Rattus norvegicus: one gene and its partner. The protein of the gene in region 1 binds, or shares a complex with, the protein of each later gene. Links are inferred from orthologs where the notes say so. Each region holds a gene or a part of one and is shown on either strand. Other genes may lie near its edges.

Region 1 (3,806 bases):
GTTGCGAGTCGTCATATGAGCCCTGGGACTCAATCTGCTCCTCTAGAAAAACAAGTGCTCTTGAACACTGAGCCAACCCTCCAGACCCGTTTATCTTTTAACTGTATAATTGAAACATTTCAAATAAGAAAAATCACACATCCCTGACTTGGTGGCCCATGACTAAATCCCAGCACTTAGGAGGTTGCAGCAGGATTGCTTCAATTTCCAGTCAGCTGGGTTACAAAGACCCTGGGTTTGTTTGTGTTTGTGTGTTTTATAAACCAGACAGTAAGTAAATAAGCCAAGAGACTATGAATGATTTGGTCCAATAGAATATCCAGCAGAGAACGGATGTCTTTCCCATTCAGAGTCCAAATGGCGCAGTGGGAGATGTTGCAGAACCTTGACAGTCCATTTCTGGACCAGTTGCATGAGCTCTACTCACAAAGCCTCCTGCCAATGGACGTCCGACAGCACTTGGCTGCCTGGATTGAAGACCAGAACTGGTGAGGACTTGGGGGTTCAGGTGGCTCCTTCTGAGCACACAGGGTCCATCCTCGAGATGTCCTGGGCGATCGCAGAGCAGCAGGTTGTTTATGGAGCCCTTGTTGTGTCGGTCCCCAGGAGGGAAGCTGTACTAGGCAGTGATCATTCCAAGGCCAACATGCTATACTTCAACATCCTGGACCAGCTGAACCAGTGGGACCACTACAGCTTGGACTCCGACTACCTTTTATTACAGCATAACTTGCGAAAATTCAATCGGGACATTCAGGTACTTGGAAGAGCTGGGAATAAGAGTGTGGGACTAGCCTTTGAGTCTAGAGTAAGAGCTGGGAGACAGAGTCTGGACATGGGGTGTCACTGGCAGAGTAATGGACTGAATCTAGATTCAGGGTCTATGAAGGAGAAAAATACTGGAGACACTGAAGGCAGGGTCTGGACTGGGCGGTCATTAAGGTAGTTAAATGGGACCGTGCTTCTGTTTTTTTTTCTACTTAGATGTTTCCCAATGGCCCTACCCAGTTGGCTGAGATGATCTTCAATCTTCTCCTGGAAGAGAAAAGGATTCTGAATCAGGCCCAAAGAGCTCAAGAGGTAAGAACAGTGTGGTACTGAGAGATGGCTTAGTGGTTAAGAGTGCTGACTGCTCTTCCTGAGTTCAACCACAGTGGGATCTGATGCCCTCTTCTGGTGTGTCTGAAGACAGCTACAGTGTAGTCAAATGAAAAAACAAAACAACAACAACAAAAAAACAAATAAATAAAATCTTAAAAAAAGAAAGCAAGCAAGAAAGCCCCTGGGACAGCAAGGCACCTGGCAGAGACTCAGGGAACTCCTCTCAGACCAGGCTCTCCCCCACACTCTGCAGTAAAATTTCAGGTCCTGATATTAGGGATGAAAACTCAAGAGTTCAGGTGGGAGTGGGGTGTGTGACCCATACCATTAATCCCAGCATTTGGGTCCCACAGCTTTAATTTGAGTCACAGAGGCAGGTGGATCTCTGTGAGTTTGAACCCAGCTTGTTATATGTCATGAGTTCCAGAACAGCCATGGCTACACAGAGAAAGAAACTCTGTCTTAAACAAACAAACCAGTCAGAGTTCAAACATGTTCAGAACCTCTTACTTCAGATGCAGCCCAGGCCAGCCCCTGAAGCGGCAGGGGAGAGCCAGCAGCAGCTTGAGATTGAAACAAGAATCCTGGATTTACAGACTGCTGTGGAGGTTGGTGGCTGTGGCAAGTGTTGGGTGTGGAGTGGAGATCGAAGCTTTTCTGCCCTCAGAAAAGCCTCACTGGGGTCCCATCTCCTCCACAGGCGCTGGTGAGATCCATCAGGCAGCTGAAGGATGTGCAGGATGTCTTCAGCTTCAGATACACAGTTCTCAATCACAGTAGGTCCACTCAAGGGGCCGTCTTAGGGGCCAGTGGGAAGGACAGCAGAGGCTGGGTGCTCCATTGAGCAGTGGTCACCTAGGGCCCCTTATGTCAGCGTCAGTAGTCCCATCGATATGTAAGGCAGAGGTGTGGGGTGTGTTGTGGAGGGCAGACTAGAGATGTGATTGAGGAATAGTTCGCAAATGGTAGAGGGATTGTGTAGTAAACTGCCTTAGCAGGTTGAATGGGCTTCTGGTCCATCCAGAATTTGCCTGTGGGACTCCAGGTGTCTGTACTTTCTCTGGTACTCCCTTCCTCCCCATCCAGCATTTTCAGTTTTTGACTGAGACCCTGGACAGAAAAGAGCAGAAGGAACATGTGGTCTGAGTTTTGGTCTTGCCTTTCAGAGAAGACATCGTCTTTGGACCCCCATCAGAGCCAACAGCGGCAGCTTGTGCAGACAACAGCCAATGAACTGGACAGAATGAGAAAGGTGGGGGCTGGGCACAGAAGGGGCAGCAGAGGGGGTTGAGGGGGCAGCAGAGGGGGTTCAGGGGGTATCAGGGAACTGGGGGGCAGCAGAGCGGGTTTGGGGGCAGCAGAGAACTGGGGGAGGGGATCAGGGGGCTATGGCCTCACCATCTTAGTTTCCTGTTCTCTTCATCGGCTGGATGGGGGTGGTGAGAGGTACTTAGCACTCATGAGTTCTCCTTCCTAGGAGGTGCTGGACATCTCCAAAGCCCTGGTTGGACGATTAACCACCCTGGTCGACCTGTTGCTGCCAAAGCTGGATGAGTGGAAGGCTCAGCAGCAGAAGTCCTGCATTGGAGCCCCAGCACCCGAGCTGCAGCTGGATCAGCTGGAACAGTGGTAAGAACCTCGGGGGCTGGTGCAGTGAATGGAGGACAGTGGAGCTCAGTGGGAGAGTGCTCCTCTGCACTCCCAAGTCCTGGGTCTGATGTCAGCACAGAAGGAGAACAGAGAGGCAGGAAGGGACAGGGAAACAACAGCCAATGATGCCTCCGTGTCTTCTGCCGCTTCTCTGGTTTGACTGTGACTATATACTCTGCTGTACGCTGTCCTCGCCACTCAGAGAGTCCTGGTCCAGTCTTTGCTTTGGTAAAGAAGCAAAGGAAAGTACTGGGTTAATCCGGTCTACCCTGTTTTGTTTGCTTTTGAGACGATGTCTCACTATGTGGCTTTGGATACCCTGGAACTCACTGTGTTGACCAGGCTGGCTTTGAACTGACCATTTCTCCAGCCTCTGTCTTCCCAGTGTTGGGATTAAAGGCATGGGCTACCACACCCACTTAATAAAATAAATCCTTAAGAGAATAAGTGGAATATTATAAAATGTGCATTAAAATGCTCCTTAATGATTTATTTTTATTTGCAGGTGAGGTTTTGCCTGCATGTGTGTGTGTCTGTGTGATGGTATTAGAGACCATTGTGAGCCACCATGTGGGTGCTGGGATTTGAACCCAGATCCTCTTGCAGAGCAGTCAGCGCTGAGCCATCTCTCCAGACACCATTTCTTTTTTTTTTTGGTTCTTTTTTTCGGAGCTGGGGACCGAACCCAGGGCCTTGCGCTTCCTAGGTAAGCGCTCTACCACTGAGCTAAATCCCCAGCCCCAGACACCATTTCTTTAAATTGTCTACTGTCTACTACTGTGTGTCTGTATGATGGGGAGAGCGCGCGTGCGCGCGTGTGTGTGTGCGCGTGTGCGTGTGTGTGTGTGTGTGTGTGTGTGTGTGTGTCTGTGTGTGTCTGTGTGTGTGTGTGTGTGTGTGTGGTGTGTATAGAGCTCAGAGGAGAACTTTGTGGGGTTCTCTACTGACATCTTTATATGGGTTCCAGGGACACAACCCAAGTAGCCGGGCCTTCTTTTTTTTTTTTTTTTTTTTTTTTGGTTCTTTTTTTCGGAGCTGGGGACCAAACCCAGGGC
Region 2 (4,266 bases), on another chromosome or scaffold:
ACCCTGTCAAAAAAACCAAACCAACCAACCAACCAAAACTCAAGTAGGCACTCAAATTTCAGTGAACAGAGTACCAAAACATGGCTATCCAAGACAGGGTCAAGCTGGCCTGGTGTCAGAGGCAGGCAGATTCTGAGTTCCAGGACTGACAGGGCCTGACACTGCTACACCGTGAGGCTCTGTCTCAAACAAACAAATGAGTCAGGATCCCAGGTAGCCCAGATAGCCCTCAGACTCCTGATTCTGATCCCCTACCTCCACTTCCCAAGTACTGTGATTATAGGCACGAACCACCATGCCTGGCCTAGGTCAGATTGCCTTTTGTGGGGCTCAGTAGAGAGGAATCCAGTTTAGAAGTGCCCGCCAGTCACACTGAGTGTTACCAAGGACGAGCATGTCCCCACAATGTCTGCAGCAGCAGACACAGGAAGACACAGCAGACACTGCAACTCTTCCCTCAAGCTTCCTTCCCTCTTATGTCCTGGAAGTTTGGACCACAGTTCCAGTGTCTCCTCCTGGTCTAGACTTCTAGTCCGGGGACCATCCCTATTCAGGCACATTCCTGAAGCCCTAGCAAAACACTGTGCAGCCACAATGTCCCACATGAAGTTGGCGGCTCCCTCAGTTACCTTTTAATGCTATAGTAGATACCATGACCAAGGCAACTTAGGAATGACAAAGTTTAATTTGGGGCTCACATTTCTAAAGGCTTAGAGTCCGTGACCAAAACGGCAGTGAACACAGCAGCAGGCAGGCAGCCAGGAATGGTACTGGGGTTGAGAGCTTACATCTGATTTACAAGCACGAGACACAGAGAGTGTGCTAGCAGGGAAACCTCAAAGCCCATGGCTAGTGACTGACACACCTCATCCAACGCCACACCTCCTGACCTTTCCCAGGTGGGTCCACTGAGGACCAAGAATTCACATATGAGCCTATGGAGGCTAATCTCATTCAAACCGCCTTGTGGCTATAGTGCTGTCTGCCTGTAGGCAACAGTGCCTGTCTTAGAGGTTGACCCCAATCCAATCTCAGTTGCCTGTAACTTGGGTGGGGGCCCCTTACCCTCGAAGTACCAGGTCAAGTCTGAAAAAAAAAGGGGGGCGGGAAGGTCAACTGGAAAAAAGAGTAAAGGGAGGGAGACATGGGGGTACGGCCAGGCATAGTGGTGTACACCCAGAACCCCAACACTCAGGAGGCTAGGGCAGGAGAAATCACCATGGGTTAGAGACTATGGCACTCTGGCTAGGCCCAGAAACACCATGTGACAGAGAACCCAGATACTGGGTACCTTGGTCTCCATCTTAACCCCTGCCACCCTCTCCTAACGAATCAGATCCTGATCTCTCTCTCTTAGTAAGCTTTTATTTACTGTTTGGAGACAGACAGTATCACCAAGGCTGGCCTTGAATTTGAACTCACAATCTTCCTGCCTCTGCACATACACTCCTATGTGCCGAGTGTGTACTACCTCACCCAGCTAAATTTTATTTTATTCTAGTGAGAACTGAGGGGGGAAATATATATTTATATATATACATACACACATACATACAGCTTAGGTTTAGAGTTAGGGATTGGGAGGATAGCAAAATTTCCTCTGAGATCACACCCTTTGGAACTTTCCAGTTTCTTAGAAATGAAAGAAGATATAGCTTTAGAAAAAGGAAATAGAAGTCTCCCCCAGGTTGTCCTTGAACTCATAATCCAGTGCTGAGATTATGAATATCCACCAACGAGTCTGGCTCTCAGAATAGTTTTTGAAGATAAAAGTTATCCTTGCACTTTCTCTTGGCCACATTGGAAAGCCCACAGTGATAAGAATCATCACGAAAGCAGGCAGACCAACGGTGTGGAGAACAAGTCTATTTCAACGGGGACCCGAGGATCAGAGTGCGAGAGTGGCAGGTTGGTGCTCTGTGTGCTGTACCAGGAACAAGGCAGCTTTCTCCTCTTCTGGAATCTTCTCTAGTAAATTTCGGGCAAAGGCCTGCTCCATCTGTGCAGGAGGAAGTGAGGAGCGGCCTCAGTGAGCACTGTAGGGACAGCCACCACCCTGCAGCCCCTTCCCTCAGGGAGTTATCTGAGACAAATCATCACAGAGCTCCATCCCGGGGCTGAACTTACCCGCACCGTGATAAGATTCTCTTGGGTATGGCTAGAGCTAGGACTCCTGTCCCAGAAATGCAGTGTTGCTTGGTACTTGGGTAGAGGTCCCTGGCCCTGGAAGTACTGGGCCAAATCTGAAAGAAAAAGGGTCAAGGATTGGAAGGAAGAAGGCAAGGCATGGCAGTAGGTCAGGCATGGTGGTGTGCGGCCAGGCACGCTGGTCAGGCTGAGGTTGGCAGAGTCACCACATTTGAGGCAGCCTGATCTACTTAGTGAGTTCCAGGACACCCAGAGTGGTATGAGGACTTGCCACAAAAGCAAAAACAAAAAAGATAGAGGGCCATGAGTGAAGTGACACTGCCTGGGGAGCCAAACGCAGAGAAAACTGGGATGGGGTAACTCCGGCACCCAGGGCACAGCAGAAACTGTGGTTTGGTGCTGCGAGGAACTAAGCTGTTCTCCCTGCTGCTGCAGGAAGAGGCAGCCCCTTCCTGCAGTTCACAGGAGCAGATGCTCCTGCTGAGAGGCTCGAAGTCCTCAGAAGCAGCAGCCCTGCCTACCAACCCCTTGGTTGCTTGCCTGCTCTCCCAATACTAGGACAGCACTCTGTCCTCAATGTTCCTCTCTCCACTCCTCCTCGCACATTTAGAGGCTGTGACTGGAATCTCGAGAGTGGACGGGAGAAGGAACAGTCCTAGAAGATGCTTACAATATGGCAGAGAGATGGGAGAGAGGGGCAAGTGTGGGTAAGGTGTCTTGGCTCTTCCACAGAGCTGTGTTTGCCAATGTCTGAGGAGTCACAGGGCTTAAAAATCCACGCAAACTAAACTGTACAAATTCACTTAACCACGCTGCTTCCCCAAGACGTATCACTTAAGAGCTCAACTCCAGCTGACCCTCATCTACCGTGGCCTTGGCTAGGGGAAGTCTGCAGAGTGGAACAATATGGCTACAGAACATGTGTATCACACAACGCAGGGGTCCCACGCAGTGAGGATGAGCTGCTGGGGAGGGTGGTGGGGAAACCCACCGGGCGCACAGGATAACGAGGAAGGGGAGGTCGAGCCGGGACACCCTTACCTCTACAGAAGTATGTGGTACTGAAGAGCTCCACACACTTATTGCTGGGCAGCAGATGAGGCCCAGGCCCAGGTGGGGCCTCGGGTGCGTTCCAGGAGATGGGGATGGGGCAGAGGCGCTGAACAAAGAGGCCTCTGGAATTGCTGGCCACCAGGATGCCTCTCTCGAGCTGATTCAGCAGGCTCTGGGTGGGCTCCAGTGGGTCAGGTCTGGGAAACACCACCTGCTGCACCATGCTGCTCTCCGGGTCTGAGGGCTCAGCCACAAGCCGACAGTCTAGGCTGTGCACCTGGATCTCATGCACCACGCGCCCGCCATAGATGAAGGTGAGCAGCAGCGAGTAGTCTGGGGACAGAAAGGTTCAGGAGGAGCCCTGAAGGCTGCTGGGAGGCCCTCTCCCCCAAGGCAGCCCAAGTAACAAGGCTTTAGAAAAGGGAAGCTCGTTTTGCTAATGGGAAAACTGAGGTCCAGAGCAGGAATCCAAGAAAGCACTGGGAGAGAGAGCAGGGCTGAGACAGCTCCTCCTTTCCTAACTAAAGGTTAGGGAAGGTTCCTTTCATCTGATAATGTGGCTCAGTGGTTGCCTACCATGCTTAAAGCCCAGGCAAGGTTCAATCAGCATAAACCCTTAGGACCCAGCATGCTAGCACATCTGTAATCCCAGGAAGACCAGGAATTCAAGGTCATCTTTAGCTACAGTGCTGTCAGTCTGCCGTCATGAGGCTGTCTTTAAAAAAAGGAAGAAGAGGGCTGGAGAGATGGCTCAGCGGTTTAGAGCACCCGACTGCTCTTCCAGAGGTCATGAGTTCAATTCCCAGCAACCACATGGTGGCTCACAACCATCTGTAAAGAGATCCGATGCCCTCTTCTGGAATACCTGAAGACAGCTATAGTGTACTTATATATAATAAATGAATAAATCTAAAAAAAAAAAAGGAAGAAGAGAAAAGAAAGGTGCCTTCCTTCTCCACATTGATGCTTTCCTCTCTTCCCCCATCACTTGGGAGTCATGCCCATTAGAACTTAATGCTCATGGCTGCAGTGTGTACAAGAAAACCTCACAGCCTGGACTTTTCT

Evidence for each region.
Region 2: the proteins of Stat2 (region 1) and Irf9 are in contact, whole or in part, in a crystal structure (PDB 5OEN), measured with the Mus musculus proteins. The link is inferred for Rattus norvegicus from reciprocal best matches to the Homo sapiens genes STAT2 and IRF9. Residues at the interface, in NP_064347.1 of Mus musculus: Arg163, Gln164, Lys166, Asp167, Glu168, Asp170, Val171, Phe174, Arg175, Thr177, Val178, Phe179, Leu181, Lys182, Asp188, His190, Gln191, Gln193, Gln194, Leu197, Thr201, Lys204, Met208; in NP_032420.1 of Mus musculus: Leu206, Leu208, Tyr212, Leu233, Asp234, Arg236, Ser244, Glu245, Ser246, Ser247, Met248, Asp270, Arg271, Leu274, Val275, Ala276, Asn278, Ser279, Arg280, Phe283, Val284, Gln285, Leu287, Cys313, Glu315.

The regions. Positions count from the first base shown.
Region 1 is NC_086025.1:1,289,789-1,293,594, forward strand, and holds part of Stat2 (signal transducer and activator of transcription 2), read left to right. Parts: intron 1-350; 5' UTR 351-357; coding exon 358-488; intron 489-606; coding exon 607-757; intron 758-984; coding exon 985-1,080; intron 1,081-1,601; coding exon of another isoform or gene 1,602-1,616; coding exon 1,617-1,709; intron 1,710-1,801; coding exon 1,802-1,877; intron 1,878-2,267; coding exon 2,268-2,353; intron 2,354-2,578; coding exon 2,579-2,730; intron 2,731-3,806. UniProt on the Homo sapiens protein: Signal transducer and activator of transcription that mediates signaling by type I interferons (IFN-alpha and IFN-beta).
Region 2 is NC_086033.1:33,068,282-33,072,547, reverse strand, and holds the end of Irf9 (interferon regulatory factor 9), read right to left. Parts: intron 3,535-4,266; coding exon 3,190-3,534; intron 2,244-3,189; coding exon 2,128-2,243; intron 2,000-2,127; coding exon 1,889-1,999; 3' UTR 667-1,888; downstream 1-666.